Oryctolagus cuniculus: one gene and its partners. The protein of the gene in region 1 interacts with the protein of each later gene in a biochemical or structural test. Links are inferred from orthologs where the notes say so. Each region holds a gene or a part of one and is shown in the gene's direction. Other genes may lie near its edges. The genes, in order: TJP1, CLDN4, CLDN8, KIRREL1, JAM2, JAM3 and CLDN7.

Evidence for each region.
Region 2: the proteins of TJP1 (region 1) and CLDN4 form a complex in vitro, tested with the Homo sapiens proteins (2 studies listed by BioGRID and IntAct, with this or other methods). The link is inferred for Oryctolagus cuniculus from reciprocal best matches to the Homo sapiens genes TJP1 and CLDN4.
Region 3: the proteins of TJP1 (region 1) and CLDN8 form a complex in vitro, tested with the Homo sapiens proteins (2 studies listed by BioGRID and IntAct, with this or other methods). The link is inferred for Oryctolagus cuniculus from reciprocal best matches to the Homo sapiens genes TJP1 and CLDN8.
Region 4: the proteins of TJP1 (region 1) and KIRREL1 form a complex in vitro, tested with the Homo sapiens proteins (3 studies listed by BioGRID and IntAct, with this or other methods). The link is inferred for Oryctolagus cuniculus from reciprocal best matches to the Homo sapiens genes TJP1 and KIRREL1.
Region 5: the proteins of TJP1 (region 1) and JAM2 form a complex in vitro, tested with the Homo sapiens proteins (2 studies listed by BioGRID and IntAct, with this or other methods). The link is inferred for Oryctolagus cuniculus from reciprocal best matches to the Homo sapiens genes TJP1 and JAM2.
Region 6: the proteins of TJP1 (region 1) and JAM3 form a complex in vitro, tested with the Homo sapiens proteins (2 studies listed by BioGRID and IntAct, with this or other methods). The link is inferred for Oryctolagus cuniculus from reciprocal best matches to the Homo sapiens genes TJP1 and JAM3.
Region 7: the proteins of TJP1 (region 1) and CLDN7 form a complex in vitro, tested with the Homo sapiens proteins (2 studies listed by BioGRID and IntAct, with this or other methods). The link is inferred for Oryctolagus cuniculus from reciprocal best matches to the Homo sapiens genes TJP1 and CLDN7.

Annotation. Positions count from the first base shown.
Region 1 is NC_091443.1:10,918,215-10,922,527, forward strand, and holds the start of TJP1 (tight junction protein ZO-1), read left to right. Parts: upstream 1-1,322; 5' UTR 1,323-1,373; coding exon 1,374-1,552; intron 1,553-4,313. UniProt on the Homo sapiens protein: TJP1, TJP2, and TJP3 are closely related scaffolding proteins that link tight junction (TJ) transmembrane proteins such as claudins, junctional adhesion molecules, and occludin to the actin cytoskeleton.
Region 2 is NC_091450.1:50,315,431-50,319,064, reverse strand, and holds CLDN4 (claudin-4), read left to right. Parts: upstream 1-1,481; 5' UTR 1,482-1,652; coding exon 1,653-2,282; 3' UTR 2,283-2,968; downstream 2,969-3,634. UniProt on the Homo sapiens protein: Can associate with other claudins to regulate tight junction structural and functional strand dynamics.
Region 3 is NC_091435.1:15,228,439-15,232,594, forward strand, and holds CLDN8 (claudin-8), read left to right. Parts: upstream 1-1,423; 5' UTR 1,424-1,664; coding exon 1,665-2,342; 3' UTR 2,343-3,567; downstream 3,568-4,156.
Region 4 is NC_091438.1:41,056,722-41,061,036, reverse strand, and holds the start of KIRREL1 (kin of IRRE-like protein 1), read left to right. Parts: upstream 1-1,427; 5' UTR 1,428-1,668; coding exon 1,669-1,720; intron 1,721-4,315. UniProt on the Homo sapiens protein: Required for proper function of the glomerular filtration barrier. It is involved in the maintenance of a stable podocyte architecture with interdigitating foot processes connected by specialized cell-cell junctions, known as the slit diaphragm.
Region 5 is NC_091435.1:20,255,691-20,260,087, reverse strand, and holds the start of JAM2 (junctional adhesion molecule B), read left to right. Parts: upstream 1-1,440; 5' UTR 1,441-1,941; coding exon 1,942-2,008; intron 2,009-4,397. UniProt on the Homo sapiens protein: Junctional adhesion protein that mediates heterotypic cell-cell interactions with its cognate receptor JAM3 to regulate different cellular processes. Plays a role in homing and mobilization of hematopoietic stem and progenitor cells within the bone marrow.
Region 6 is NC_091432.1:128,325,462-128,329,165, forward strand, and holds part of JAM3 (junctional adhesion molecule C), read left to right. Parts: intron 1-1,123; coding exon 1,124-1,276; intron 1,277-1,616; coding exon 1,617-1,819; intron 1,820-2,728; coding exon 2,729-2,828; intron 2,829-3,704. UniProt on the Homo sapiens protein: Junctional adhesion protein that mediates heterotypic cell-cell interactions with its cognate receptor JAM2 to regulate different cellular processes. Plays a role in homing and mobilization of hematopoietic stem and progenitor cells within the bone marrow.
Region 7 is NC_091448.1:51,865,530-51,870,029, reverse strand, and holds CLDN7 (claudin-7), read left to right. Parts: upstream 1-1,593; 5' UTR 1,594-2,334; coding exon 2,335-2,557; intron 2,558-3,373; coding exon 3,374-3,538; intron 3,539-3,622; coding exon 3,623-3,707; intron 3,708-3,809; coding exon 3,810-3,972; 3' UTR 3,973-4,189; downstream 4,190-4,500. UniProt on the Homo sapiens protein: Plays a major role in tight junction-specific obliteration of the intercellular space.

The DNA of each region.
Region 1 (4,313 bases):
GAAAGGTCTTCCATCCACTGGTTCACTCCCCAGGAGGCTGCAAAGGCCAGAGCTGAGCTGATCTGAAGCCAGGAGCCAGGAGCTTCTTCCGGTTCTCCTACTTCTTTGGGTCCAGGGGCCCAAGCACTTGGGCCATCTTCTACTGCTTTCCCAGGCCATAGCAAAGAGCTGGATTGGAAGAGGAGCAGCCAGGACTTGAACCAGCACCCATATGGGATGCTGACACTGCAGGTTGGGGCTTTATCCCACTGCACCACAGCGAGGACTCCTAACCTACACATTTGTAACCATCAGTTAAACAAGTTTTGAATGTTTTGACAACGTTTTTAAAGACTATGGAACAATCATTTCCCATTGATTCTTAAGAGAATTTTGCTTGGTTCATGGTCACTTCCATTGTCTAGAGCTCCAGGGCAAACGAGGACTGCATGTGTTTGTGTCTGAGTGTATTATATATAATATACATATATTCTATATGTGTTTGCCCATGTGTGTACAACATGTATGCAATATATATTACATATGTGTATGCAATATGGACGCTATATATGTGTGTGCGATGTGTATGCTATATATTACATATGTATACACACTATGCATGCTATATATTATGTGTACAACATACATGCAATATATGTGCCATATGTGCGCAATATATTACATGTACATACATACTGTGTATGCTATATATATGTGCGTGTAACATATATGTGATATATTTTATAGCCACATGTATGCAATATATTACATGTGTATATATACTATGTGTGTATATACTATATATGTGTGTACACAATATGTATGCAATATATTATTTGTGTATACAATATTTTGCAATATATATTAAATATGCATGTATGCAATATATACATATATATTGCATGTGCATACAATTTGTATGCGATATATGTGTGTATACAACATGTATGTGATATATTCTATATGTGTGTGCAGCATATATATAAAATTGAAATCGTCAAAGACTTTAGGGAAACAGCTAGATAAAGGTTATCTTCGGCACACAGATGATGTTGATAAACCACCCAGTGGCAAACGCAGACAAAAGAGTGTATTTTTTCCGCTCTGGGAGCTTGTCCATCGGGGCATAAATGATTGAAAATGAGCTCCTGGCAACCAATGAAGAAACTGAGGCATGCGGGGTGCAGGGCCCGGTGGCGCCGGCGGGCGGTGCTGCGGGCGCGGCGGCCACGCCAGCCCCGCCGCGCGCCAGGCCCGCACCCGCCCGCCCGCCCGCCCGGTGCGCACGGCGGGGACCGCGGCTCGCGCGGGCGGCGGGGGCGGCGGGGCGCGCGCGGCGGCGGCGGCGGGAGCGGCGGGAGCTGTGGCGGCGGCGGATGGCCCAGAGCTGATCTATGCGGCGCCTGGAGGGGCTGTGCCTGCGGCGGCGGCGGCGGCGGCGGCGGCGGGGCCCTGCCCGCGAGCGGAGCGGGGACAAGATGAAGTACCAGAAATACCTGACGGTGCTGCAGATGGCCATCGGCGTCACCCCCTCCAACCGCGGCAGCCTGCTGCCGCTCAAGAGGAAGCTGTGGTGAGCGCGGCGCGGCGCGGCGCGGTGCGGTGCGGTGCGGTGCGGTGCGCGCGAGCGCCGAGCCCCAGCCCGCACCGGGCGCCGGCCGGGGCCGCCCGGGCGGGGGCCGGGGCGGGCGGGCAGGCGGGCAGCCAGGCCGCGGGGCCCGGCCCGCCGGAGCGCGGGGCGCAGCAGCCATGTCGGCGCCCTGCGGGCTGCTGCCGCGCGGCCCTGGCTGTGCCGGGCCACACGTAGGGCGGCGCGGGGCGGCCGGGCTCACCGCAGCGGCTCCCGCACCCGGCTCCTCCGTTCTGTGAACCCGCATCCATCCAGCCAGCCAATGCAGGCTCGGGATTTCAGGGCAGGCTTCCTGCGGGTCGCGAGCGCGCGATCGCTCGCCGCGGTGCGCGGTCCCCGTGACTGCTCCGAGCGCATCGGTGCGGGGTCCGCAGCGGAGGGCGCGCCGCCGCCGCGCGGGCTCTGGCTTGCGGGACCGTGGGCACCTTGTTCGGTGCTATGTGTCGCTTGCACGCGGTCCCGTTCCTGGAAGAAGCCGGGCTGGGAGTTCTGCGCGCCCGGGGTCCCGTCGTTCGCGGCCGGGCGCCCGACCGTGCGGGGCGTTCTCGGGTACCTGCACCCAGCCGAGGCGTCCTTTGGATCTGGGGTTCAGGCTGGGAGGTTCTACCGCAAAAGCCGTTGTAGGGCAAAAAAGGGAAGGCGAGTGTGGGGCGCAGGTGCCAGGGATCGTGGTGGGCGCAGGTCGTGTTAATGTTACCGTGAGTGGCCAGTTGTAGGTCCTTAAGGCATTCCTTGGTCGTCTGATTTAATAATAGGGCTGTGGATGCAGACAGGCAGGCGGGCTTAGGTATTCGAGGAAAGTGAGTCCTGCTGTGAAAGAATTGCCCAAGGTGTATAAATTGACCTGCCCCAAAAAATGGAGGGTCAAAAAATGGAAGAGTTTTGGAGGCAAAGCAATAAATATGGGTGGCAGTGCTCAGACTTGAGCTGTGACCCAGGCAGCTTCCTGGAGCGCCCGTTTCTCCCGGTAGCCGTCCGCACCCGGGGGTTCTCTTGCAGGTCGGCTGTGCCGGGAAGGCAGGCGCCTGCCTGGACAGCAGGTGCTTAGCTGCGCTATTGCCTTTCTCCCTGCTGCACCCTGTTTGTTTTTTAATTTGGTGAGCAGCAAATGGTGACACCCCCAAGACAAGACTGGTGGGAGCAGGTAGCAGCTGAACTAAATGCCTTGGGAAGAAGACCAGCGAGTAAGTCGTGAGGATGTGACTGCGGAAGGTGACTTTGATGGGGGAAGGGGCATTGGCAGATCGGATCAGGTGTCTGCAGCCTGATGCCCCACCCTGCTTCCCTCTGAGTGTCTGTCAATAACCAGCACTTAGGGCTGGCGCCATGGCTCACTTGGTTAATCCTCCGACTGCGGCGCTGGCATCCCATATGGGCACCAGGTTCTAGTCCCGGCTGCTCCTCTTCCAGTCCAGCTCTCTGCTGTGGCCCGGGAAGGCAGTGGAGGATGGCCCAAGTCCCTGGGCCCTGCACCTGCATGGGAGACCAGAAGCACCTGGCTCCTGGCTTCAGATCAGCGCAGCGTGCCGGCCGTAGCAGCCATTTGAGGGGTGAATCGACGGAAGGAAGACCTTTCTCTTTGTCTCTCCCTTTCACTGTCTATAACTCTACCTGTCAAATAAATAAAATAAAATAAAATAACCAGCACTTAAATGTTCTACTTACTGTTCCTACACGTTGTCCCTGTCCCCACTAGAATGGGGGAGGGGCTCTTTATTTCATTACTAGGTCCCTTGCAACTGGTTTCTGGCACAAAATAGTTTCTCAATAAACAGTTTTTAGATAAATGAATTACTCATAATGCCCAGCTGGGAAAATGTTAAGGTAATCTGTTTTCTTGATGCTTGGTTTTAAAAATTAAGATGTTAGAGTGACATTTGAATGCTACTAGGCATCACAAAGTTCAGGAGTTAGCTTGGTTCTCTTCCAACACTGGAGTGCTACTTCCCCTTTTTTTTTTTTAAGATTTATTTATTTATTTGAAAGTCTGAGTTACACAGTGAGAGAAGGAGAGGCAGAGAGAGAGAGACCAGGAGGGAGAGGTTTTCCATCCACTGGTTCACTCCCCATTTGACCACAACAGCCAGAGCTGTGCTGATCCGAAGCCAGGAACCATGAGCTTCTTCCAGGTTTCCCATGCGGGTACAGGGGCCCAAGAACTTGGGCCATCTTCTACTGCTTTCCCAGGCCGTAGCAGAGAGCTGAATTGGAAGTGGAACACCTGGGACTCAAACTGGCGCCCATATGGGATGCCAGCAGTGAAGGCTGTGGCTTTACCCACTATGCCACAGCGCTGGCCTGGAGTGCTACTTCTTGAAGCACATCTCCCAAACACACGGTTTGTGAAGAGAGGACACAGGGAAATAAAAGCCAGGCAAAATGTGTACTCAGTGCTTTAGGGCCAGGGAGAAAAACTCTTACGAATCAATGACCAGGAAAAGGCAGGCAAGATTTTGTTGACCTTTTCCTTAGTGTTAGCAGAGCTTTTCAGAATTTTCACTCAGTGTTATTCTCATTTCTTTTTTTTTTTTTTTAAGATTTATTTTATTTATTTGAAAGACAGAGTTACAGAGAGAGGTCGAGACAGAGAGAGAGGTCTTCCATCCGCTGGTTCACTCCCCAGATGGCCTCAATGGCCGGAGCTGCACCGATCCAAAGCCAGGAGCCAAGAGCTTCTTCCTGGTCTCCCACATGGGTGCAGGGG
Region 2 (3,634 bases), on another chromosome or scaffold:
CAGGCCGCTGTATCCAGGCCCCAGATGTGTGGCTGGGTAGTGGCGGGGACTTGGGCCTGCTCCCCCCAGCATGGCCCTCTCCTCTAGGTCCCCCCAGCCCCTACCCTGACTCAGGCCCTCCCTGAGTCCGGACCCCCCATCCCTTCCTGTTTCCAGCAGTGCCTCCGGAAGCTACGGGGACAGCTGCTCACCACCGGTGCCCCTGCCCACCTGCCCCTGAGTACCGCCTGGGGCTGGCTCTTGGCTCCGGCCCCTCCCTGCGGCCAGGCAGCCCAGTGTCCAGTCAAACTGCATTCCTTGCTGTTCCCTCCACCCCAATGCCCCCTTCACCTAGTCCCACTGCCTTGCACAACCCTCACAAGGACCCCGCTCCCAGAAAGAGCTGTGTCTCGAGGCCGGCGCTGTGGCATAGAGGGAAACGCCGCTGCCTGCAGTGCCGGCCTCCCATATGGGTGCCAGTTCGAGTTCCGGCTGCTCCACTTCCTGTCCAGCTCTCTGCTGTGGCCTAGGAAAGCAGTAGAAGATGGTCAAGTGCTTGGGCCCCTGCACCCACGTGGGAGACTTGGAAGAAGCTCCTGGCTGCTGGTTTCAGATCAGCACAGCTCTGGCCGTTGTGGCCAATTGGAGAGTGAACCAGCGGATGGAAGACCTCTCTCTCTCTGCCTCTGCCTCTCTGTAACTCTGTCTTTCAAGCAGATAAATAAATCTTAAAAAAAGAAAGAAAGAGCTACGTCTCCCCACCCCAGTGCCCGTTCCCGCCACCAAGTCTTGCTGCCTTGCCCACCCCCTCAACCTCCCCCCGCCCCCGCACAACCCTGGCAGCTGCTGTGTTATCTGCAGCCCCCACCCCCACCCCCCACGCCTGGCTTGGCTCTCCCTTGCCTTTGAAGCCTCCTGGGACTTTGAACCTCTCTCTGTGTCCACACAGAGTAAACAGCCACCGTGGGGCTGATGCCTCCCAGGTTGCTGCCCCCAGCCTGCGCTGCCCACGTAGGCTCAGCCCTGGCCCACGGGGGCCATGGTGGTGGCAGGGGGACCAGCTTGGGTCTCTCTTTGGCCAAAGGTGCATGGGGGTAGGGGTAGGGCCTCCCGTGTCCTCCGTCTCCCATACCTGACCTGCCTGGCAGTGCGGGGCTGATTGACAGTGGCGACAGTGCCCGGATGAGGAGCCTGGGGGATGCTGGGACCCCAGGCTCCAGGTCCACCACCTTGCTCGCCCCACCCCGTGGACACCAGATGGCCCTGGGCTGTGACTCAGTGTCTGTCTCTGGCCTGACTTCAGCATGGGCCGGGGTGGGGTGGAGGGAGTGTGGGGGGAGGGGCTGGGGGAGAGAGGGCAGTTTCCTCTGAGACTCAGGGGTGACTCAGGGGCCTTTCAGTGTCTTGGTTGGCCAGGGTTCAGGAATCCAGAGAAACTGGTCAGGGCCCGAAGCCCCTCCCTCTGCCCCCGCCTCTCTCCGCCAGAGCCATATAACTGCTCCACCTGTAGCCGGCGGGGCGGCTGTTGGCTGAAAGAACTGGTCTGCTCACCCTCCTTGCTGGCGCTGGCTTTGTCTCTTCCCTGCCCAGGGCCGGTGTGACCTCAGGCCTTGAGATCCCTCTCAAGCCGCCCCGATCGATCGCCAGAGCCCAGCGGAGACGCACGCGGAGCCATGGCTTCTATGGGACTGCAGGTGATGGGGATCGCCCTGGCCGTGCTGGGCTGGCTGGGCTCCATGCTGTGCTGCGCCATGCCCATGTGGCGGGTGACGGCCTTCATCGGCAGCAACATCGTCACCTCGCAGGTCATCTGGGAAGGGCTGTGGATGAACTGTGTGGTGCAGAGCACGGGGCAGATGCAGTGCAAGGTGTACGACTCGCTGCTGGCGCTGCCGCAGGACCTGCAGGCGGCCCGCGCGCTCACCATCATCTGCATTATCGTGGCCGCCCTGGGCGTGCTGCTGTCCGTGGTCGGGGGCAAGTGCACCAACTGCGTGGAGGATGAGACGGCCAAGGCCAAGACCATGATCGTGGCAGGCGTGGTGTTCCTGCTGGCCGGCCTGCTGGTGATGGTGCCCGTGTCGTGGACGGCCCACAACGTCATCCGGGACTTCTACAATCCGCTCGTGGCGAACGGGCAGAAGCGCGAGATGGGCGCCTCCCTCTACATCGGCTGGGCGGCCTCCGGCCTGCTGCTGCTCGGCGGGGCTCTGCTGTGCTGTAACTGCCCGCCGCGCAACGACAAACCCTACTCGGCCAAGTACTCGGCTGCCCGCTCCGCCCCGGCCAGCAACTACGTGTGAGGCGCCGGCGCTCGACTGTGTCCCTCCTGGCTGGGATTGTCCATCGGAGCTCGGCATGGTCTGGGACCCAGGAGGAGGCCCGTGGCCAGCAGCCCTCAACCCCGCCTCGCCCCACTTGGACAGCTTCCCAAGGACGGATGGCAGAGAGACACCGTGCCCCGCTCCTCTGAATGGCTCCCGGAGGCAGGCGACAGAGCAGGGAGCTGGTCCTGCTGGCCAGGCCAGCCCAGCCCTGACCTTGAACTGTGTTTCAGAGTGGGTGCCCACTCATGCCAGTGTAGCCGCTCTAGCCTTTGCCCAGCTCCGTCTGCCCACACCCTCTGCCTGCACGTTCCATGACTCCAGCGCCTGTCTTGCCACCGTCTCCCTGGCTCCTGGCCCCGCCAGCTGCATGAACTTGGGGGATCCACGCTTGAGCCATACCTGCCCTGCCCGAGAATGGCGCCGAGGAGCACAGAGTGGACAGACTGGTTTGGAGGGGAGGAGTGGAGGTGGGACAAACTGGTTTGGGCAGGAAGGCTGGAGAACCCCTCCACCCTCCCCAGTCAAGGACACTGGCCAGCCCGGCGGGTGTATGTTGGGGGCAGGGGCTCTCCCTCGATGTCTCTGTTTTGTAATTTAAGAAGTGCTATTCATCACTGTAATTATTATTATTTTCTACAATAAACGGGACCTGTGTACAGGAAGATCTGTATTTGTCTCTGATTGGGGCTTGCAGGGGTGGGAGCGGGAGGGGCGGGGCTGGAGGCCTGTGCAGGGGGTCAGCCGGGGCCAGGACCCCAGCGCTTAGGAAAACGGCTTCGGGGAATCGCGACAAGCAGACCTGGCCGTAATCTTGGGAGTCACCCTGGAGGCAGGAAATAGCGCATGCCAGGGACCCAGCGGGGACCCCGGGAGGGAGGGCGAACCCCGGGGCTTGGTCTCTGCCCTCCCCACCTTGCCGGATCCTGCTTGTCCTGCAGGGCCAGCTCTGAGCCTCCTCCCTCAGAAAGAGCATCATCACAGGCCAGCTCACACAGGTCACCAGGGTCTTTCCACCTGCTCCAGCCAGGGCACCCTCCTGGCCACGCCTGGGGCTCTGGGGCCCCTTCACGGGTGAGGAAGTGCAGCCCTGGGCTTGTGGGAGCATGTGGCCCGGCCCTGGACCCGCGGCGCGGAACCCCGGCTCTGACCCAACCCGCTCTGCTCTGCTGGGTGCTGTTAGCACTGAGTCGGGCCCTGGGTTCCTTGTGCATGGGTTACAGCTGCAAGGGCCCAGCCCCTGGGGAGGACTCAGGCAGTCACTGTCAAGGCTGTGGTCCTGTCAAGGCCGGGTCAGGGACAGCTCTGGGGGTGGGGTGGGGTGGGTCTCC
Region 3 (4,156 bases), on another chromosome or scaffold:
GATACAAACCTTACAAAGAAAATGTTATGCATTTTCTACAACAATATCAGAGACATATTGCAGTTTAGCCTTTTGAAGATCAACAAAGAAGAAATTACTGTAAATATAACTTTCGTTTTTTCTTACTTTCAAAATGTCGTGCGAATAAAATAATAACTTGGATGGTGGTACATTAATTATTTTTAGGCTATCATTTACTTTGGCACTTTCCTCTTCCCCACCCTTCTATGGAGAGTTTATGTTTCAATAATCTTTATTAACCACTCAGATTTTTTGAACCATTAAACTTTCACATTTAATAAGTGAGCCAAAGACATGCCCACATTTGAGTTTAAGTTACACAAGAAAGCATAGAGAAATTAAAGTTATCATTTCATGGGGTTAAGATGAAAAAAAAATTAAGCACAGACTGAAGATTTGGAAGATAGGACAGTGAGCTCACAGTGTTCTTCATAAGAACATTGCTAGGGGAGTATTCCTAAACCAGTTTCTGCTTATTTTAGAACCCATGTTACCACCATGGTTATTTTGAGAAGACATAGTTCAAATTGGCTCTTATGTAGGGGCTCCTATATCCTTTGAAGATGTGATATTAAAAAGTACAAAACACAAATTTGGTTAACACCTAATATTTTCAGTTCAATTAATGCAGCTGGTGTGTCCTGTAAACAGCTTATTTAAATCTATCAGACATTTGCCTAGACCCAAGACTTTTCTATCATCTGTAGAATTCTAGTTCCTTCAGCCGGGAAGATGGAGCAATAAAGATACAACCACAAAGTAAGCTAGCAAGCTGCATGTCACCCATAATTTAAATGTTATAATGTTTGCTACACTAAAAAAATCAACTAGCTTTTCTTTTATTACATTTTTTTTCTTTTAAATCAAGATTATCAGCAAAATACCAACAAGTAGTTTTTCTGGCTTTAATGAAAACAATGCATTTGGTGCCAAGGAGGAGGACTTTAGCTTTATTTTGTTTTTCAGCATGATATGTTCCCTGATTTTACCCTGCCAGGGCTTGCTTTGAAGTTGTAGGCAAATTAAAACTACTTGGATCACATGTATTCAAAGAATGTGGTTTTCCTAGGTATGAGCAGTCCATCAATGCCCTCCTCTCCTTTCACTTTGGCATTTTGACAGACCTTGAAGATTTCTTAGCAGGTATTTTATTTTATACCTTGCCCACAGCAGCTTTTACACAATTGCCTGTATAAAATGCACCTTTTACATTGCAAGAGATTGGCTCATTTCTTGATGATTGTGCAAACATTCATAATTATGCCTGCAGGTAAACATACTGCTGTCTTCTCGGAAAACAGAGAATTACAAAGAATGTTTATGTGCAGGTCCAGCCATTCCAAGTATCTCTGGTTGGTTTAGACACACCTGAGTTACCATCCCCCCGTCTTATTGGCTGAGAAAGTTGCCATACCTGATTTGTAAGTTTTCCTCTCTTAGTCAATAGAGGAGGCGGGGGACAACACAGCCAGCCAGCACTGGATTTAATCTACTAGAAATAGCAAAGCAGCTCTTATTTGAAAAGCTCCTGGGTTCTGAGTTAAGTATTATTGGAAACTCTTCTCTCCTGAGGCACAGAGAATCTTGCTTCGGAACAGCGTTACTAGTTCAGTTCAGGCAAATAAAATCTATTCCGGAGGATAATGGCGACCTATATTCTGCAAATTGCTGGACTGATGTTTGGCGGTGTTGGCATGGTGGGCACGTTGGCTGTCACCATCATGCCTCAGTGGAGAGTGTCTGCCTTCATCGAAAGCAACATCGTGATATTTGAAAACCTCTGGGAGGGCCTGTGGATGAATTGCATGAGGCACGCTAACATCAGGATGCAGTGCAAAGTCTATGATTCCCTGCTGGCTCTTTCTCCAGACCTGCAGGCATCCAGAGGACTCATGTGTGCTGCTTCTGTGCTGTCCTTCTTGGCTTTCATGACAGCCATCGTCGGCATGAAGTGCACTAGGTGCACTGGGGACGATGAAAAGGTGAAAGGTCACATCCTACTCACAGCTGGAATCATCTTCATCGTCACAGGCATCTTGGTGCTCATCCCTGTGAGCTGGGTTGCTAATTCCATCATTAGGGATTTCTACAACCCAATAGTGAATGTTGCCCAGAAACGCGAGCTTGGAGAAGCCCTCTACATAGGCTGGACCACCTCGCTGCTGTTGATTGCTGCAGGGACCCTGTTCTGCTGTGGTTTCTGCTGTACTGAGAAGAGCAGTAGCTACAGATACTCAATACCTTCCCATCGCACAACCCAAAAGAGTTATCACATGGAAAAGAAGTCACCGAGTGTGTACTCCAAAAGTCAGTATGTGTAGTTGCGTATGTTTTTTATCTTTACCTATAAAGCCATGCAAATGACTACAATACCCACTATTTTCTAATTATGGAGCCCAAAGGAACATTGATTTACTGTTGTTGACTGCTGAACATTAATTACAGGAACTACACATCAGCTGTTTATGATTCTATAAGCTATTTCAGCAGAATGAGATATTATACATTCTGCTTTGATTGTTTTAGGAAGTCTAGTAATTTGCCAAAATTGTTCATGCATCTATTCCTTTTATCAGTTACTTCAAAATGACATTGTTAAAGACTGTATTATTTTACAACTATAATTTCTGTGTGTCATAGAATTATGTACATGATTGAGCATGACATTTGTATCTCACATAAATAGAGACCAGCTTATATGGGTTTATTTAAAATGAAATACTGATCCATTGTACTGAATAAATAGGACTCAACTATTGCTTTTCAGGGTAATCAGAGATTTGAAGAAGTTAATATTAATTGTTTAACAATAACTTAGAGATTAAGTCTATAATGAAAACTAAAAATGAAGATTGTAATCAACAGTTTGAAGGAAATTAAATGGTTCTTCTGATATTCTGTTTTTCAGCCTAGAAGTTTAGAAATCCTCACTCCCTTATCTTTTCCCTAGAGGCCTTCATTTTCTTGTGTGTTAAATTAACATCGTTAAAACACAGATGGTCTGCAAGGAACTTTGTATTCAGCCTACTTTTTCAGGACTTACTAAGAAGAATGATTAAAATGTGATGAAAAAATATTAACAATCCTAAGGAAGCAAATTATTTTCTTCTTAAGTCCTTGTAGTTGGATAAGGATGCTGGTTGACAAAAAAAATCATGTATGCATGAGAATATTTTAACAATCATTGAGTACAGACTTAAAGCTTTTAGCAATATAAATAACAGCATAGAAAAATAACATATTTTGGTTTTCATTTAATTCCACCCCAAAAATCCAAAAAAAAAATATACTTTGAGCATTCCATTGCTCCTAAGTGGACTTATCTCAAAATTGTCACCTCAGTTCTGCTGAAGATAAATTTCCTATTTGTTTCATTTTTGTTCAGGTTTACTAAACTGTGAAATACTATAGCTTTGTGTTTCCTCCAAATTTGATGAAACAGAAAATCCAATTTGAAAGTTTATATCTATTTTTGTCCAGCTTACATAATTATGCATATTATGTACTTTGTCTTTTGTGTTTATAAATTGTGCCTTTTTATAATCATTTGAAACCTTCTCATTTATTGTTTCTGTTATCAATTTATAAGAGTAAAATAATGTACATATATTATTGAATATACATGCGCATATGACTAGAATCGAAGATGCTACATAGAATTCAGTATACAACATATTAGTGTATGTGTACATGTATTATATTACCTCATAAAAAGCAATTGCCTTGCATTTAGAGAGGTGATAATTCCAGAGCTGTGCTATCCCTTCTACAATATTCTCCAAAGACATCGCTTCCACAGCTGACTCTGAACACCTTACACCTGGTTTACACTCTATCATCATTACAAACGGCCCCTGAGGGCTGTGCAACTACAGTCTTTTCTCCTGGGCTTTTCTGTGACTCTGTTCACAGCCATCTTTCTTCTAAAACCTAGGTGACCTCATGATTGGTCTTTCCTACGCTTTAACTCCCTTCTCCATTCTGTCCCACCTTCTTGATAATTAACTGCTTTATGTGCCAAATGACTATTAATTTTTTGCTTAGAATAATATATTTTTAAAATTTAATTTATTCATCTGAAAATCAGACCACAGAGAGGGAGAGGCAGAGGCAGAGAGAGAGAAAAGCCAGAGAG
Region 4 (4,315 bases), on another chromosome or scaffold:
GCGTGTGCTGGTTACATTCCTGGGTCTCTGGCCTAAGTACGGTTCTTTGTTTCTACACTGTGCTTGCCTGTGCACATGCGGCTTTGAACTATGTAAGTCTTCTCCGGACTGTGAGCATCAGCTTTCAGAGTAAGAGCTTGTGCGTTTTCCTGCCTGTGTTTCTGTGCCCTCTACTTGGCGCGGATGTTTCAGGATCCGGGGGAGGAAAGGCGAGTCCTGGCCGCCTGACGTCAGCAGAGGGCACCAGAGAGCCGTGCGCTTTGAGCTCAGGGCCTGAAAGGAAGAAGAAATGCTCGCTGGCAGCAGTTAGGGACCCAGGAGATGCAGAATGTGGGAGAAAAGAGGTGGAGACCTCTCTAGACCAGCAGGCATTACGGTAAAGTTGTGCAACTGCTGTGACTCTTGTGTTGTTTCCCCTCAGTTCATCCCCTAGGGTCCAGACCTCCAAGCACTGCCAGCAACGCTGGGACCAGAGGCTTCTGCTTAGGGCTTGGGAGAGGAGCTGGTTGCTAGACTGGGCCCTAGAGAAAGCGGACCCTTCCTGCAGCCCCTCATCACTCCCACCAGGAAGTCCCTCCCTCAGCCGCTCCTCCGTCTCCACCCCAAGGTATCTCAGACTCCTGCTTGGAGACCTTCTTTGGGCAGCCAGCTCTTCCCACGGGCTTGGAAGGGAGGCCGTGCCAGTCCTTGGCCTTCCAAGCTGGGCCGTGGTGCTGGCTAGCTTCTCCTTCTGGGTGGGTAGAGGCCCAGGGGGAACAAAGGAAGGAGGCAGCTGTGCCTCTCCAGGCTGCTGAGGGCTCCAACATTTAGCCTGGTCTCTGGCAGGGGCTCAAGGCAGGCCAAGTAGATTCTCTAGTTCTGGGGTTTTTAGGCCGGGAGAGGAATGTCTGCCCCTCCCCCCTCCAACATTCACTAGCCAGTGGAGAATTCTTCATTGAGGGGATCTAGGAATTAGCTTCTGGTCTTTCTTTCTTTTTTTCTTTTTTTGAGATCTGTATGCTCTTTAACTCCCTGGCAGCCTACCAGACACACACACACACACACACACACACACACACTCTTCCTCATCACAGCCATCCTCTGCGTACGAGGCTTATCCTCAGACCCTGTCCCCCCAACCCCGACCCTCCGCTACAAACCCACAGCCCGGGACCGAGACCGCGTCTGTAAACGGGCGGCAGCGCGGGCGGGCAGGGGTCCAGCCGCCCCTGCGCCGGAGCCCGCGATGTCACGCTCCTGATCCGCGTCGCCTTGCCCTCAATTCCGTTCTCTCGGCCGCCCTTGCGTCTCGGTGCCAGCGAGGGGTGCGAGTGTGCGCGCGCGCTGGGGGGCAGGGGAGGCGGCGGAGGGAGGCGCCGTCGGGGGGGAGAGAGCAGACGTCAGGAGGAGGGCGGGCGCGCGGCGCGGGCGGCCGGAGCTCGGGGGAGCGGGCGCGATCGAGAGGAGGACTCGTCCGAGGGGCTGGGGGGAGGAGGCTGCCAGGGGGAAACCGCGGGAAGGGAAGTGAGTTTGTGCGAGCGGGAGTGTGCGTGTGCGCGCGGCGCGTGTGCAGGGGCGGGCGCGGCGGCGGGGGGCGGGCTCGCGGGCTCCCCTCCTCCCCAGCCCGCTCCTCTCTCGCTCGCCAACTCCGGGCCCCAGCCGCTGGCGGGCGCGCGGCGGGCGGGCAGCATGCTGAGCCTCCTCGTCTGGATCCTCACTCTCTCCGATACTTTCTCCCAAGGTAAGGGCCCCCAGACGCCACCACCTCGCCCCCCTCTCTCCGCGACCCCCGGCGCCCGGACGCCCCGGCGCCGCCCGGGGAGCGGCCCGCGGGCAGCCGCCGGGCTCCAGACGCCACGAGGCGGGGGGAACGGGGTCCGGGCGCGGAGTCGCCGGGGCCGGCGAGGAGGAGTTTTCCGTTGATTCATCCAAGTTGTTTGCTCTGGTTGAGCGGGAGAACGGAGAATTGGGGGCCGCCGGGGCTGGGGGTCCGAGCGAAAAACGGAAAAGTCTTTCCCGGAGCCCCCCGGCAGCCCGACTTAGCCCCAGTCCCTGTGGCCGGGGTCCGGACGCCAGGGTTTCGCCCGGCCAGGGTGGGATTTCAGATTTTGGGGTGGGGTGCGCGGGCAGCCGGGGCCCCGGGCTACCCCCGAGATGCTGCTCAGAGGATCGGTCTCCCTAGCTCCCTCCCGTTCAGCCTGTCGGGGTGCCTGCTTTTGAACCGCGGCTCCAAGCTGCCGGGGCCGCCCCCTCTAGAGAAAGCTACGGTGGCAGGGAGCGGAGGGGGCCTCCGAGCCTGGGGCGAGGGGGAGTGGGAGCCGTGGGCCGCGCCGGCTGTGGGCGGGGAGTGGAGTTCCCAATACAGCGGCAGGCCCAGTGGATGTGTTAGGGGCACTTACTGGGGGGGACACCCCGCTTGGGGTCGGGGAAGTGCCGAAGTCTGGGGGCTTATTTGGAAGTGGCAGGGGAGAGGCTGGGAGGCCACGGCTATGGTTAAGAGAGGTGAGGATATTGGTGGATCCCGGGCAGGGCTGAGCTGGGGGAGGGAAGAGGGGGAGGAAACCGAGGGTCTAGACTCCAGGCAGGAATGGGGTCTGTGGGAGTGTGTTCTTACCTCTGGGGTCTGCCTCTAAGCAAGATTTAATCCTGTCGGGTTCACTCCCCCCCCCTTCAACCCCCTCCCTCCATGAAGCTGACACAGAGAAATTGACACAGAAACACCATAAAACAGTCACAGACAGGGAGACAGACTGCTCACCTACTGAGACGCAGACATACCAGCAGACATCCCCCACACTGAGACAGACACATGGACACAAAGGCGCTGACATCTCCGAGGGTCACGGATTCCTCCCCAGATTGGCACACACATCCTGCCCCAGAGCGCCAAAACTCAGACAGGGAACATGTGTGCAGGCAGCCTTTACAAGGACACGCGCGCAGGCACACACACACACACACACACACACACACACACACAGAGGCGTGCAGGAGCCCTTCTACAGATACCAGCCCTGGAGCAAACAAAGAAACTTGAACAGACATTGGTACAGCCAGACACCTATGGAGCTGTATAGACTACAAAATGGAGGAGGTGGTCTCTTTTTGGGGAGTGGGGGTGTGGATCTGGGAAGAGGGCAGTGGGCTTGGGGAGGGCAGCCTCAGGCATGGCTCAATGCTCACTTTCCTTCTTAGGTTTGTGGGTGTGTGTGTGTGTGTGTGGTGTGGGCTGCTGTGCCGGACACCCCGTTTCCCAGCCAGAACCCTCCCCGGGGCTGAGTTGTTGGGGCCCTGTCTTCTTCCGCCTTTCCCTCCTGCACACGCTGAACACACGGGAAGGGCACACATGTCTGGTGTGAGCTGAGAGTGGGAGGGGGTGCTGGGGAAGGAGGCCTGGCCCTGGGGTTGGCAGGCCAGGCCGGGCACTTGGCAGAAAGTTGGGAAGATGACTTAAGTTTTGACTCTGTTCAGTCAGGCTGCTGTGGTGGGGGAAGGGGCGGGTGGGAGGGGGAGGGACCCTGGGTCAATATTGGTATGTGGAGGGGGGGCAGCTCCTGTCTGCCCCTTTCCTGGAGCCCTGGCATGTCAGCAACATGGATAGGAAGGAGCTTTAAGGAACAAAAGCTGCAGTTAGCAAACAGGAGAGACATGTGCATTGAATCGGAGACAGGAATGGTCAGAAAGAAATGTGTATATTGTGTGTGTCTCTCTCACCCCTTGGGAAGGAGGAAGAGGACAGGGAATCCTGAACCTCCCCCTCCCTGTCCTCCCCAGTGGGCTGAGAGCAAGACCTGAGGACGCTATGCAAAAGTGTTTGTGGTGGGGGAGAGGATACTAAAGGGCAGAAAGGGAGGGAAGTCAGGAGGGAAAGGAAATTACTACTGGGTATTCAGGGGAAGCTGGCCAGGGGCTGGGGAGGAGAAGGGAGGGAGGGCGTGGGGGTCGGGGAGCCTGGGGCATGCACTAGGGGTGCCTGGCGGGACCCCTTCTCCTTAGCCTTCCCCCCTCAGGGCCAGGAACTGGGGCAGGGAGAGAGGAAACAGAGCGGGAAGGTGTTGCCAGGGGATTGAGGGCTGGTGGTGCAGAAGGGGGAAGGTGAAGGAAGGCCAGAGAATGGAGGGGAGCAGAGAGCAGAGGGGAGAGGGGAGATTGCAGCTCAGGCGGAGAAATAAAAATCGCGTTTTAAAGAATTTCAATGGGCTTCATCAATCTTCATTTTTCACTAAATAATTTTCTGTATCTTATCTAAATGAAAACCATTATCCTTCCCCCCGTTTCCATCATGCGCCGGCTCCTCAGACTGATTGCGCCGAAAATTGAAATATTTATTCATTTT
Region 5 (4,397 bases), on another chromosome or scaffold:
CTCCAGCCTCTTGGCTTCAGCCTGGTCCAGCCCTGGTCTTTGCGGCCATTTGGAAAGTGAATTAGCAGATGGAAGATCTCTGTCTCTCCCTCTCTAGCTCTGTAATTCTGCATTAAAATAAATAATAAATACAATTTTTATAAAAAAGGTATAATCCTTTAAACAAATTACGCATTTGCAAGGGCAGAGAGGCATTTGGAGTTAGGGAGAGCTCCTATCCATTGGTTCACTCCCCAAATGCCCACAATGGGTGGGAGTAGGCTGAAAAAGCTTGGCGGAAGCCAAGAGCTCAGACCAAGTCTCAGGCATGGATGGCAAGAACCCAGCTACTTGAGCCACCACGGCTGCCTCCCAGGGTCTGAATTACCAGGAAGCCGGAGTCAGGAGCCAGACAGCCTGATGAAGGCCGGTGGGTGAGTTTTAACATGAGGTCGAATCCCTGCTCCTTAAAAAATCTGCCTTTGTGTGTGTTTTGTTTACAGAGGAGTAAAAGACGCACAGTTGGAGCAAGAATGAGAAAAAAAAAAAGAGGTCACGGACAGCTTTTCTTTCCAAGTATTGAATCTTGTTACTGCCTGGAAAAGCTGGCAGACGGCTGTCCTTACCTCGGCACCCCTTCCCGCTGGACTGGGGCAGGAGCTGGAACATTCAGCCATTTGCCACTTTCCCTTCTGGGCCCCCTGGGTCCTCCGCGCCCCGCCCTCCCCATGGGTACTAAGCTTTCGTCCCTGTCACCAAGGCAACGGCAGGGATGCCTCATTCCTCACAGCTCTGCATATCTAAACTCTGCTCGCCTTTGTCCACTGAGCTGGCTGAATTCTTTGTGTGTAGGCCACTAAATCAACTCTCTACACAGAACTTTATGCATTATTCTACCTTAGACAAAACTCTGATGTGCAACAATTTCTTCTCCCGGGAATGGCTCTTCCCAGACCTATCCATCCTTTTGAACACATCAGACAGCTTCGGTCCCTAGGAACAAACACACACATTGCCAGTTCAGCCTTCGTCAGTGAGTGCAGCTTAAGTGTGGGTCAATTTTAAAGCACGCAACAGCGCATTCATAATGGGTTTCCCTTTTAAAAGCACAGTAGGCCAAAAATAAACCTGACAAAGGGCAGCTGTAGAGTTTTAACATGTGGAAAACTCCACAGGCGGCAGTTATGTAACTGGAAAGCAACATGATAAATATTTCACACCGATAGAGGAACTTCCAACTCCGGCACAGGAAGAAGCAAGCAACACAAAACACCCCTAAGCTCTCCAAGGACCGAAAAGCGCACACTGAGAAGGGGCTGAGGCTGTTGCTAAAGTCTGAGACTTGACTTCCCGCACGAGTCTAGGCAGCTTTTTTTTTTTTTTAAGTCTTGAGTCCAAGGCGGAGCCCACGAACCCCATCTCCTCCGCGCGCCTCCTGCTCTGGGCAGAAATTCTCCAAAGACTCCACCCCCGGGCTGAAAAACCTCAAAAGAAGTTTCCTGGAGAGGCGGGGAAGACAGGAGTTGGAGCGAGGCAGGCGGGAACCCCTCCCCACTCCGCCCCCTCCCCGAGCGCCCCGGGCTCCCGGCCCTGGGGACAGCTGGCTGCCCGCGCCGGACCCAACACAAAGCCGATCAATGCCGGCGGCGCGGCGCGGGGCGGGGGCGACCGGCCAGGGCATTCCCTGCGCTGCTCGCCTCCTGCTGCCCCCTCACTAGGACCCCGCGGACACCTCGTCCCGCGTCCACGCCCTCCCCTGGCACCCCACCCGCCCCCCCAAAAAAAGAACGGCCCAGACCCCCCATTCCAAGGCTGGAAGACCAGCTTCTGGGCAGCCAGCCGAGAAGGCACCCTGGAGGGGGAAACTGACGTCTCCTCCAGACCCGCCCCTCTCGCCCGCCCCCGCCTGGCCGCGCACTCTCCAGACGCCGGACCCTAGCTGCCCACTCCGGCCCCGCGAAGATGGCGAGGCGGAGCCGCCACCGCCTTCTCCTACTGCTGCTGCGGTACCTGGTGGTCGTCCTGGGCTGTAAGTCGCTCGGGAGCCTCCATCCTCCCACCCGGTCCTGCTTTGACCCACCCCCCCGGACCCCAGACTCTGAGCGCGCGGACGGAGCGGGGCGGCCCTGGGCTGCGGGTCCACGCGGGGCTCGGACTTTGCACCCCGCGGGCTGGGATCCGGGGCTGCGGGCAGTGTAGTGGCGGCGGCGGCGGTGGGAAGCGAGGGGCGGGTCTTGGGCTTCTCGTAAGTGCGTGTGATTGTGTCAGTGCTAGTTTGAGAAAATTAAGGGCCCCCACTACCAGGTGCAAAGTTGGGTTAAGTTTTCAAAGGCACAGGGACGTGATCCGAATGCAAAACTCACTAACGACTCCTGAGATGCTAAGAACCCCCTGAAACATGGCATCATCACTGGGAGGCGGGCGCCGGCCACTCCCGCAGTCCCCGTGCTCCTGGCTTCTCCGTGAGGGTCCCATCAGTGCCCGGGGTCGGCGGAGCGCTCGTGCTGCGGGGCGGGGGCGTGCGCGGCTGCGGAGCTGGAATTCCCTAGATCGCCTGCACCTGTGCTGCTGCGGGGCGCCGTCCCGGCCCACGACCCCGGACAGCGGCGGGGGTCCTCAGGGACGTCCCACGGGACGACTGGGAGGAAGATGCAGACGCTCCGCGGGACGCGTATAAGCCGGATTTTCACGGATTCTGGGCGCACGAGATTGAAAACCCTGGGAACGTTTCCTTTTGTTTTCTTCGCGTGGACTTGTTAGGAAAATGCAGGAAATTACTAGATTTTGCGCCATGAAGTATTTTCCTTTTTCTTTCGTCCCCTCCCTACCCCTTCCTTTTTTCGTTTTTTCCTACATTCTTCTTGCCTTACCTGTTTGTTTGTTTGTTTGTTTTTCGCCTTTCCTGGTAAAATGAGTTATCCTGGCTCATTCTGGTAATGTAATGCTTACAGTACTTAAAATAGACCTCCTGGTGAGTGTGTAATACCACGATACACTGAGTTTTTCCCCTCAGTCTCTGGTTGCCCAAGTGAATCTCGCTCAGCCCAAGGTCCTCGTGTGTGTGAGCTGTGTCCCTTGCGGCGGGGGTGGACTCGCGGTTCTCCAAGGGAAGGGCCATGTGCTGACCTATATTATAGAAAATCAGGCCGGGAAGGCCAAGTTTCACAGTAAGACCCTTAACAGTTTCTGACCATCCATTGGTGTCCTGCTGAACGCGCAGGGAGATGTGCTCAGCAGAAAGGCAACAAAGAGGCAGGCTGCAGGGATAGAAACAAAGCTGGGGAAGTTACGGTGGCCACTAAAATCTTCCGTTTCAGATCTGAAAAGCCTGTGACTTTAGTTGTGGAAGGAGCAAAGCATTTTCCTGTGATCCCTGCCCCATCATTAAGATAGAAGCAGTACACTAAGTTTGAAATTGTAGCTGACAATCAACTAAGAGGCAAACAAAGGCTTGGATGAATGGGTAGAATAACCCTGCTAACCATGGTGCCGGGGATTAACTTGGGAAATGTTGCCGAGATCTTTTCTGTCTTGTTGCTGGGATGGCCAAGGTCTGGCATTGCTAAAGTCTTTTTTTTTTTTTTTTTTTTTTTTATGAAAGTTTTTTAATGAAATTTTAGAACAGATAGATTTGAAGAGAATTTTCCAAGTTAGGATAGAGAGTTGCTGTGTAACCCACCGTCAGTTTTCCCTGTTGCTGACTTAGGTGAGCAGAGTGCACTGTGTTCATATTCTCTTCATTCTTTTTTTTTTTTTTTTTTTGAAAGATTTATTTATTTATTTGAAAGGCAGAGTTACAGACAGGCAGAGGCAGAGGCAGAGAGAGGTCTTCCATGCTCTGGTTCACTGCCCAAATGGCTGTAATGGCTGGAGCTGTGCCGATCCAAAGCCAGAAGCCAGGAGTTTCTTCCGGGTCTCCCACGAGGGTGTAGGGTACCAAGGACTTTGGCCATTTTCTACTGCTTTCCCAGGCCATAGCAGAGAGCTGGATCGGAAGTGGAGCATCCGGGCCTCAAATAGGTGCCCATATGTGATGCTGGCACTGCAAGTGACGATGTTACCCACTACGCTACAGTGCTGGCCCCTTTATTCATTCTTACCGTTTGTCCTTCAGTGTTGCACGATTCTATCCAGGACAGGACATTGCATTTTATTTATTTTTTTAAGATTTATTTATTCTATTTGAAAAGCAGAGTTACCGAGGAGAGAGAGACAAGAGAGAGAAAGAAAGAGAGGTCTTCCATCTGCTGATTCACTCCCCAGATGGCCACAGCGACCCGGGCTGGGCCAGGCCGTAGCCAGGAGTTTCATCCAGGTTTTCCATGTGGGTGCAGGAATCCAAGCACTAGGACCATCTTCTGCTGCTTTTTCCAAGAGCATTAGCAGGAAGCTGGACCGGAAGTGGAGTATTCAGGATT
Region 6 (3,704 bases), on another chromosome or scaffold:
TAATACTGCATTGTAATTATACCAGTTGATGGGCATTTGGGTTGTTTCCATTTTTTGGCTATTACCAGTAATGCTGCTGTGCACATTCATGTACAAGTTTTTGTGTGAATGTAAGTTCTCAGTTCTCTGGGAGAAGTGACCAGAAGTTTCTAGGTCATGTGATAGTTGTATGTTTCATTTTTTTTTAAGAAGCTGACAAACTTTTCCAAAGGCAGCTTTACCATTTCATGTCCCTACCAGCAGTGTACTTCCTGACATCCTTAGCAATACTTGCTATTGTCTGACTTTTTCTGGCAGTCCTAGTTGATATGAAGAGGTGCTCCCCGTGGTTTGATGTGCATTTCCTGTTGACTGACCTGTTGAGCATCTTCTCATGTATAGATTGGCCATTTGTGTGTTTCTATGGAGAAATGCCTTTTTGGATCTTCTGCCCAGTTTTAAACTCACTTGTCCATTGTTGAATTGTAAATTCTTAATACTGCTACATTGTAGATACTAGTCCTTTGTCAAATAGACTTGGAAACACTTCTGCGGTCCTGTACATTGCCTTTTCTCCTGCTGGCGTCCTTTGAAACACAACCTTTTAGTTTTGATGAAGTCTATTTTAACTACTTTTTTTGGGTGCTTGTGCTGTTGATGTCATATCTAAGAAACCATTGCTTAATCTAAGGTCATGAAGATTTATGCCTGCTTTTTACTAACAGTTCATAACTCTTAATTATACAGAAAATGAAGTAGAGATTCAACTACCTTGTTTTGCATGTGGAAAAGCATCATTTATGGAAAGCCAAGGGTTTTATTCCTTTTTCTTTTTTTATCTTGTTTATTTTATTGGAATGGGGAATCTCTCTTGAGAGTGATAGAAAAGAGATGAGGATCCTAGCTTTAGCAAGACACACTCATTGAGAGCTCCTCAAACACCTGGTACTATTTTTGGTGCCTGGGTTACAAATAGGAGAGTCATGATTGCAGTCCTCAGGGCACTCATTTCTGTTACATGGTATAAAGAAACAAACCAGTCTGCAGCCTCCTTACTCTGTATCAAATTCTGGCCCCAGAAACCACCCTCAAGTGGCAAAGAGAGCCTTAGAGTTTTTGGTGCCCTGTATCATCTTCTCTGTAGGAGACTTGGCAGGTCGTGCGGAAGTCCTGGGGCAGACTTCCCTGAAGATCTGGAATGTGACTCGGAAAGACTCAGCCCTTTACCGCTGTGAAGTTGTTGCTCGAAATGACCGCAAAGAAATTGATGAGATTACCATTGAGTTAATTGTGCAAGGTAGGAGCACGTGAAGGTAAACATTTCCACCTCTTTCAGGCTTCACGAGTCTCCATCTGTGGAATCAAAGAGAAGGATTTTGATTTCTTTCCTTCCAGAGCTGTATCTCTGAGGGAAGCATGACTGGGAGGGGGGAAGTTTTGAGGCTTTGCCTAATTTGGGGTGGGAAGTGGTGCTCCTGCCACTTCCTCACCATCTCCAGGAGGCACCTGCCACATAACCGTGGTGCAAGGGCAGCTCAGCTGGCTTTCTTGTCTTTGGACCCAGCTCACTGTGGGTTTTGACAGGGGTAGAGCCATGTTGCTTCAATTTTAAACACCAATCCATGTATTTCCTACAGTGAAGCCAGTAACCCCTGTCTGCAGAGTACCCAAGGCGGTCCCCGTTGGCAAGACTGCGACACTGCACTGCCAGGAGAGTGAGGGCTTTCCCCGGCCCTACTACAGCTGGTACCGTAATGATATGCCACTGCCGACGGACTCCAGGGTCAATCCCAGATTTCGAAATTCCTCTTTTCTCTTAAACTCTGAAACCGGCACCCTGGTAAGATATCTTCTAAGAGGTGATGATGGAGATGTGTCTTGGGGCCAGGGATGGTTACTGCTGAAAGAGCAATTAGGAGAGACAATGGAACTACTTTGTAAGACAGGAACTGAAAATGTTGGAGATTCTACAGAAAAAAAAGCCCCTTTTTGCCCTTATAGGCAAGTAGGTTCTAAAGGGGGTGCAATAAAGCAAGGGAACCTGGAGGTGAGAAGAGACTGCGGAGGGACATTAAATGTTACCAACAGACGTTGCCAGCGTTGTGATTTGGATAATCAGCTGTAAAAGCAGTACGGGACAACTAGGGAAATTTTGTTGGCTGTTTCTTTGATCATATTAAGCAATTAATTGCTTGCAGCAGCATCATGGAATTGTGGTTATGGTTTTTAAAAGTTCTTAACTTTTAGAGACGTATATTGAAGTATTTATGGATGAAACCTGACATTTCTGTCAGAACCCTGAGGTGGTGAGGGTTTGGGTGATGGGACAGGATGGTCCTGTGCTAGCAGAGACAGGCTCACCACCAGACAGCTCCAGCAGTCTCGTTCTCCTTGGCAAGTGCCTTTGGTCTGTGGTCTGCATGGAGTCAAACATCAGGCAGATTGTAATAGGATCCTTGATACTTGTTTTGTCAAAATATTGCCTGATGAGCAGTCATGATCAGACCACTCTCTGGCCTGTTGTTCTGGATGTTGCCAGCTTTGTCTCTTCAGATACACAGGGGAGGTTATGGTTGGAAGCTCTTAGGGTGTCAGGGAAGAACTGCGACAGTGCCTGGGGAGCCACAGGCAGACCAGAACCAAACGAGCAGACTGGCTGCTTTCTGGACTCGGGCGCAGTGGGGACTCTGTTGTCCCCTTAGGTCTACCTTGTTGATTGGTCTGTTTATTTCCTTATTTCCTGGAACAGGTGTTCAGCGCTGTTCACAAGGAGGACTCCGGGCAGTATTTCTGTATTGCCTCCAATGATGCCGGCTCAGCCAGGTGTGAGGAGCAGGAGATGGAAGTCTGTGAGTCACTTTTTGAAAAGATTTCATCAAAGACTAGAGAGTGGATAAGACATTCAATATTGAGTATTAGACCATCAGGTTGGACAGCTGTCTCCCTTGGGTCAGCTTTCTCCTGGAGCTGGCTGGAACGCACTGGGGAAGACAGGATGAGTCTAGACAAGCAGGTTCCCAAGAAAGACTTCCCAGGTCTTCTGGTGTTGGAGACATGGCCAGTCACGTAGCATTCAGTGAGTTAATAAATTCCGGTTCCTTGGTAATCGATGGAATTATCAAACACGTGGTTGTGCAAGGCCTCCAGAAACCTGGCTCCAGAGTGGATGCTGAGGGGAGAGAACGTATAGGCGCACCTCCTCACTCCTGGTGCTTTCCGTTCTCTTTTTCCTTCCTATTTGTAACCACCCACAGCAGTGTTTCCTAGAGTTACCTGATGATAAAGTCTGGGCCCATCCCAGATGTCTCCTGGAAATGTCTCTGTAAAATAAGCATTCCTGGTAGGGAAACCCTACACTAGAGTCATTTTCTCCTGAAGGAAAATTCCTGAGTTTTCTCCAGACCTATTGTATCTTTAGAGATGGAACTGGAACTGACATTTTAAATACAAATTCCAAGTTGATTTTCAAGGACTCACTCACATTTGAGAACCAGCATACTAGAGTAATGGAGAATTTTGAGTTTTCAAATTAACTGACTTTTGTTGATAAATTCCCTGCATTCTTATGTGCATAAAGGAAACAGCCACCAGTGCTCTCACAGGGAAGTGCATCGCCCAGCATGTAGAAATGATAAAGGACTCCCAGGGACTTTCCTCTAAGAGGCCTGCAGGTGGGAGGCTAGGGGGCCAGTGCAGTAGAAGGGCAAGGTCTCTCCTAGTTTTTT
Region 7 (4,500 bases), on another chromosome or scaffold:
ATTTTTTTTTAAATTTTTTGACAGGCAGAGTGGACAGTGAGAGAGAGGGACAGAGAGAAAGGTCTTCCTTTGCCATTGGTTCACCCTCCAATGGCCACCGCGGCTAGCGCGCTGCAGCCGGCGCACCGCGCTGATCCGAAGGCAGGAGCCAGGTGCTTCTCCTGGTCTCCCATGGGGTGCAGGGCCCAAGCACTTGGGCCATCCTCCACTGCACTCCCTGGCCACAGCAGAAAGCTGGCCTGGAAGAGGGGCAACCAGGACAGAATCCGGCACCCTGACCGGGACTAGAACCCAGTGTGCCGGCGCTGCAAGGTAGAGGATTAGCCTAGTGAGCCACGGCGCCGGCTAGGCTACAGATTTTAGCAAGACAGGAGTGGGGGCAGGGAGATTAGAGCAGTCAGGATGTCCTGGCAAGAGGTGACCGTGCTGTGGCCCGGGGAGGTAGCAGAGAGCTTGGAGAAAAGTTGGGTACACATAAGTCAAGGGAAGAGCTGGAAGTCACCTTAAAAAAAAAAAAAAAAAAAAAAACCACCTCACTGTGCTTCAAAAAGTACAATAAAAATGAATCACAAAGAGTTCTGAAGAGTCCGCATTTTCATACAAGAGTAGGTTAATTAGATGAGCACAAAGAGCCCATTAATAAATGTACAGAATAAATGAAGATTTACAGAGAGATGTTTGAGGAAGAAGAACCATGGGAGGAAACACCAGAGAACCGGGGTGAAAAGCAGAAAGAGGGCAATGGAGTGAGGGAGAGATGGGGCAGGGGAGGTGTGGAGGGTCTGGGCTGGAGGAGAGGCAGACTGGCAACCCGCACGAAGAGCTGGGCGAGGCAGCCACCTGCCTGGAGACGGACCGCAGGATGGATGCAGGGGCGGGGCTGGAGGTGGGCTACGCCCGAAGGTGAACTGAGAGACCGGGGGGGGGGGGGGGGGGGCTGGTGAGTGTGAGCTGCGAGTCTGAGGGTGGACTCAAAGATCCCGTTGTAAAGCCAGATGTTTGGGTGCACAGAACACCGAGGGGATGGGAGAGTGCGCACAAGGCGGCTTGGCTGGGAGAGAGGCAGTGCTCAGTGTGAGTGGCGGGGCGGGGAAGGTGGAGAACGGGTCTGAAAAGACGCCAAGGGAAGGGAGTGATGGGCGCGGCCAAGGCTCTGACCCAGGCCTACCCCGGCTTCCCACCCTCCGCCAGCTCCTGGCCCTGGTGGTTTCTGTGCTCTGCTAGGAGCCTAGATGCTGGAGCGGGTAGCAGCCTGGGGGAGGAGTGAGAAGGGCCCAGGGATGCACTGGGGGCCGGGAAGGGGGGCTTCTTGAGGAGCAGGGGCTCAGAGGCCTGCGGGCTGTTGCAGGGTCAGCCCAGGTGGGAGGGCCAAGGCCGGGGAGGTGGAGCGCTCGTCCAGGGGCCTCCAGGAGTGGCAATTCCAACAAGGCGCGATCCTCAAGGACCCGGCTAAGACCACCCGTCAGAGCAGGAGAAAGAAGGAAAAGAAGAGCAGAGGGTGGAGGCGAAAGTCGAGCGGACAAAGAGCATTGGAGGCAGAAACCGGCGGCGAAAGGGCGGCGCCGAGCCTGGCCGCCTGCCTCTGCAGTGTCCCAGGTGCACCTGCTGGGGAGAGAGAAAGGGGCATCTCCGAGTCCGGGGGAAATCCAGTCCTGGGGGCTGACTCGAAGCTGGAAACTCCTGAGAAGCCTCCGCCTCCTCCTCACCTGCGGCCAAAACCCGGCAAGTGAATGGGCGTGACCCTAGTGCTCAGGTTTCTTCCTTTTCACCTGGGCAAGAAGGGGTGGGGGCCAGGACTTCCGGTTCAGGTGAGTGTCCCTTCGGTGACGTCAGGTCACCCTCGGCCGCCCCTCCGGTCCCGCCCCCCCTCCCGCGCTCCCGTTGCCCGCGGGGGCGCGCCCCCGACGCCCTACTTATACTCAGGTGCGCCGCACCTGTCCGCCCGCACCTGCCGGCTCGCCTCCTCTTCCGTGCACCGCAGCTTCAGGCCGATAGCCCGGGATCTTATCCTGGGCTTGCCCGCACTCAGGGCCGCGCCCATACGGCCCCTACACCTTTTGTTTGCGCAGGGTCGCCCGGAGCGCCGAGGGGGACCGCCCGGCCTCGGGGATCGCCGTGTGCGGAGCCGCTGCTCCGGGAGAGACCAGCGCTCTACCGGAGGCGTCGATTTGCCTTTACTCCGAGGACAAGAAGATAAACGCCTCTTTTGTCTCTTTGGGCGGCTGAAAACTCCACCTGGCTTGTTTCTTGTGGGGCTGCCCCCACCCTCAAGTTTTATTTGCTTCACTGTAGGGTCCCCCGCCCGGGGCTCCCAGTCTCTTTCCGAAGGCGGAAATGGCCAATTCGGGCCTGCAGTTGCTCGGCTTTTCTATGGCTCTTCTGGGATGGGTGGCCCTGGTGGCGAGCACCGCCATCCCGCAGTGGCAGATGAGCTCGTACGCGGGCGACAACATTATCACGGCCCAGGCCATGTACAAGGGGCTGTGGATGGAGTGCGTCACGCAGAGCACCGGCATGATGAGCTGCAAAATGTACGACTCTGTGCTCGCCCTGTCCGGTAAGGCCGCGCGCGGGCCCGACGGGGCGCACTTGCCCCGGGCCGAGGTGGCGGGGTGGTGTCCCGGGCAGGGCCGAGGCCCCGCGGCCGGGCGCCTCGGGTTGCAGGAGGAAGCGGAAGAGTACAGGCCGGGGCGGTGGGGCTGGGCGGGCGCGGGCCAGGGTTCCGTCCGCTGCACGTGGGCTCGCGCCTCGGCCACCTGCGCGCCTCTTCCATCCCGAGCTTGGCCTTCTACCTCGCCGGGGGAAGCGGAGCCCGAGGCTGGGGTCGTCCCCTTCTGTACCCTCCACCGGCAGACAATGGCTTCCGCCATCTCCCGCCTCTTTCTCTCGGACAAAAGGGGGCACTGGGCGAGGGCCGCGGAGCGAGCGCGCTCTGTCAGATGTGGGCCGCGGTTTGCGGCCTCTAATCTTATCGCCCGATTAGCCAAGGCCACGCGCCCGCGGCCTCGATAGCAGGGCCGGAGCTGGGACGCCGGCCGGGACGTGCGACCAGCGCGGGAGCCCCGGCTGCCCCGTCGGCTGCCCCTCTGCGCCCTTCCCCCTCTCCGTGGCGGTTTCATCGAAACCCTGGCGCCCCGGGCGGGTTCCGAGCAGAGGGCGGAGCAGGAAGGCCGCGGTGCCGGGAGGGGGCGGGAACCTGCGGGCTCCCAGCCGGCCGTTAGATGCGGCGGCGGCCCCGGGCCGGCGGCGGCGCCCAGCGCCGGGAGGACAAGGGTCCAGGGGTCACTGGGCGCGGCCCGGCCGCCGAGGCTGGAGCCGACGGAGGGCCGCCTGCCTTTGCAGCAATGACAGCGACCTTTCTCCTTCCTCGCAGGGGCCTTGCAGGCCACTCGAGCCCTCATGGTGGTATCTCTGGTGCTGGGCTTCCTGGCCATGTTTGTGGCCACGATGGGCATGAAGTGCACGCGCTGCGGGGGAGATGACAAAGTGAAGAAGGCCCGCATTGCCATGTCTGGAGGCATCGTCTTCATCGTGGCAGGTGGGCCCCAGGCTCTCCTCTCCCACCACGAAGTCGTGGGCGTGGGCAGAGCACACCCTGTCTGAACTCTCATTCTCTCTCCAGGTCTTGCTGCCTTGATAGCTTGTTCCTGGTATGGTCATCAGATTGTCACAGACTTTTATAACCCCCTGACCCCCATGAATGTTAAGTAAGTCTGGGAACCCTGCCTATCGGGACAGGCCTGGGGGCCTGGGGTAGGGGGAGAGCAGAGGCAGGCCAGGGTTCTGACCCAGTCCCTTCTCTTCCACAGGTACGAGTTTGGTTCTGCCATTTTTATTGGCTGGGCAGGGTCTGCTCTGGTCCTCCTGGGAGGCGCTCTGCTCTCCTGCTCCTGCCCTGGCAGTGAGAACAAATCTGCGTACCGTGCACCTCGCTCCTACCCCAAGTCCAACTCTGCCAAGGAGTACGTGTGAGCCGGGACCCCATGCCCCAGCCTGACTGGCTGTGGGTGTGCCCAGATACCTGCAAGGCCCATGGGCAGAGCTCAACCTGTGAGCAGGCACAGGACAAGGCCTCCTGTTCAATCTATCCCTGCACACCATGTACAGTTCTCTACGGGGCGGGGAAGGGGGGGCCAAACAGAGGGGAGGGTGTGCTTTTTGTACAGTAATAAAAAATAGGTTTTGGAAAGGCGGCTTTTTTTCCTTCGAGGGCCTCTGCTTTCTTCCACCCTTTCCTTACAGGGAGCTTGGAAGCTAAAGTGCGCCTACTTCTTTAAAACACTCACAGAACCCCAGCGGTGCCCAAGGCTGGTCTACCCTGTTTCATTTTCATTGTTACTCAGGCCCCTGTAACAGTCAGGTGTTCTGCTTCTCTCATTCATTCCTGTCCCCACTCTTTGTTTAAATAGCTACTAGTTTATTATTATTATTATTTATTTGAGTTAAACAGAGAGGTAGCACCAGAGAAAGAGAGACTCTTCTGTCCGCTGGCTCACTCCC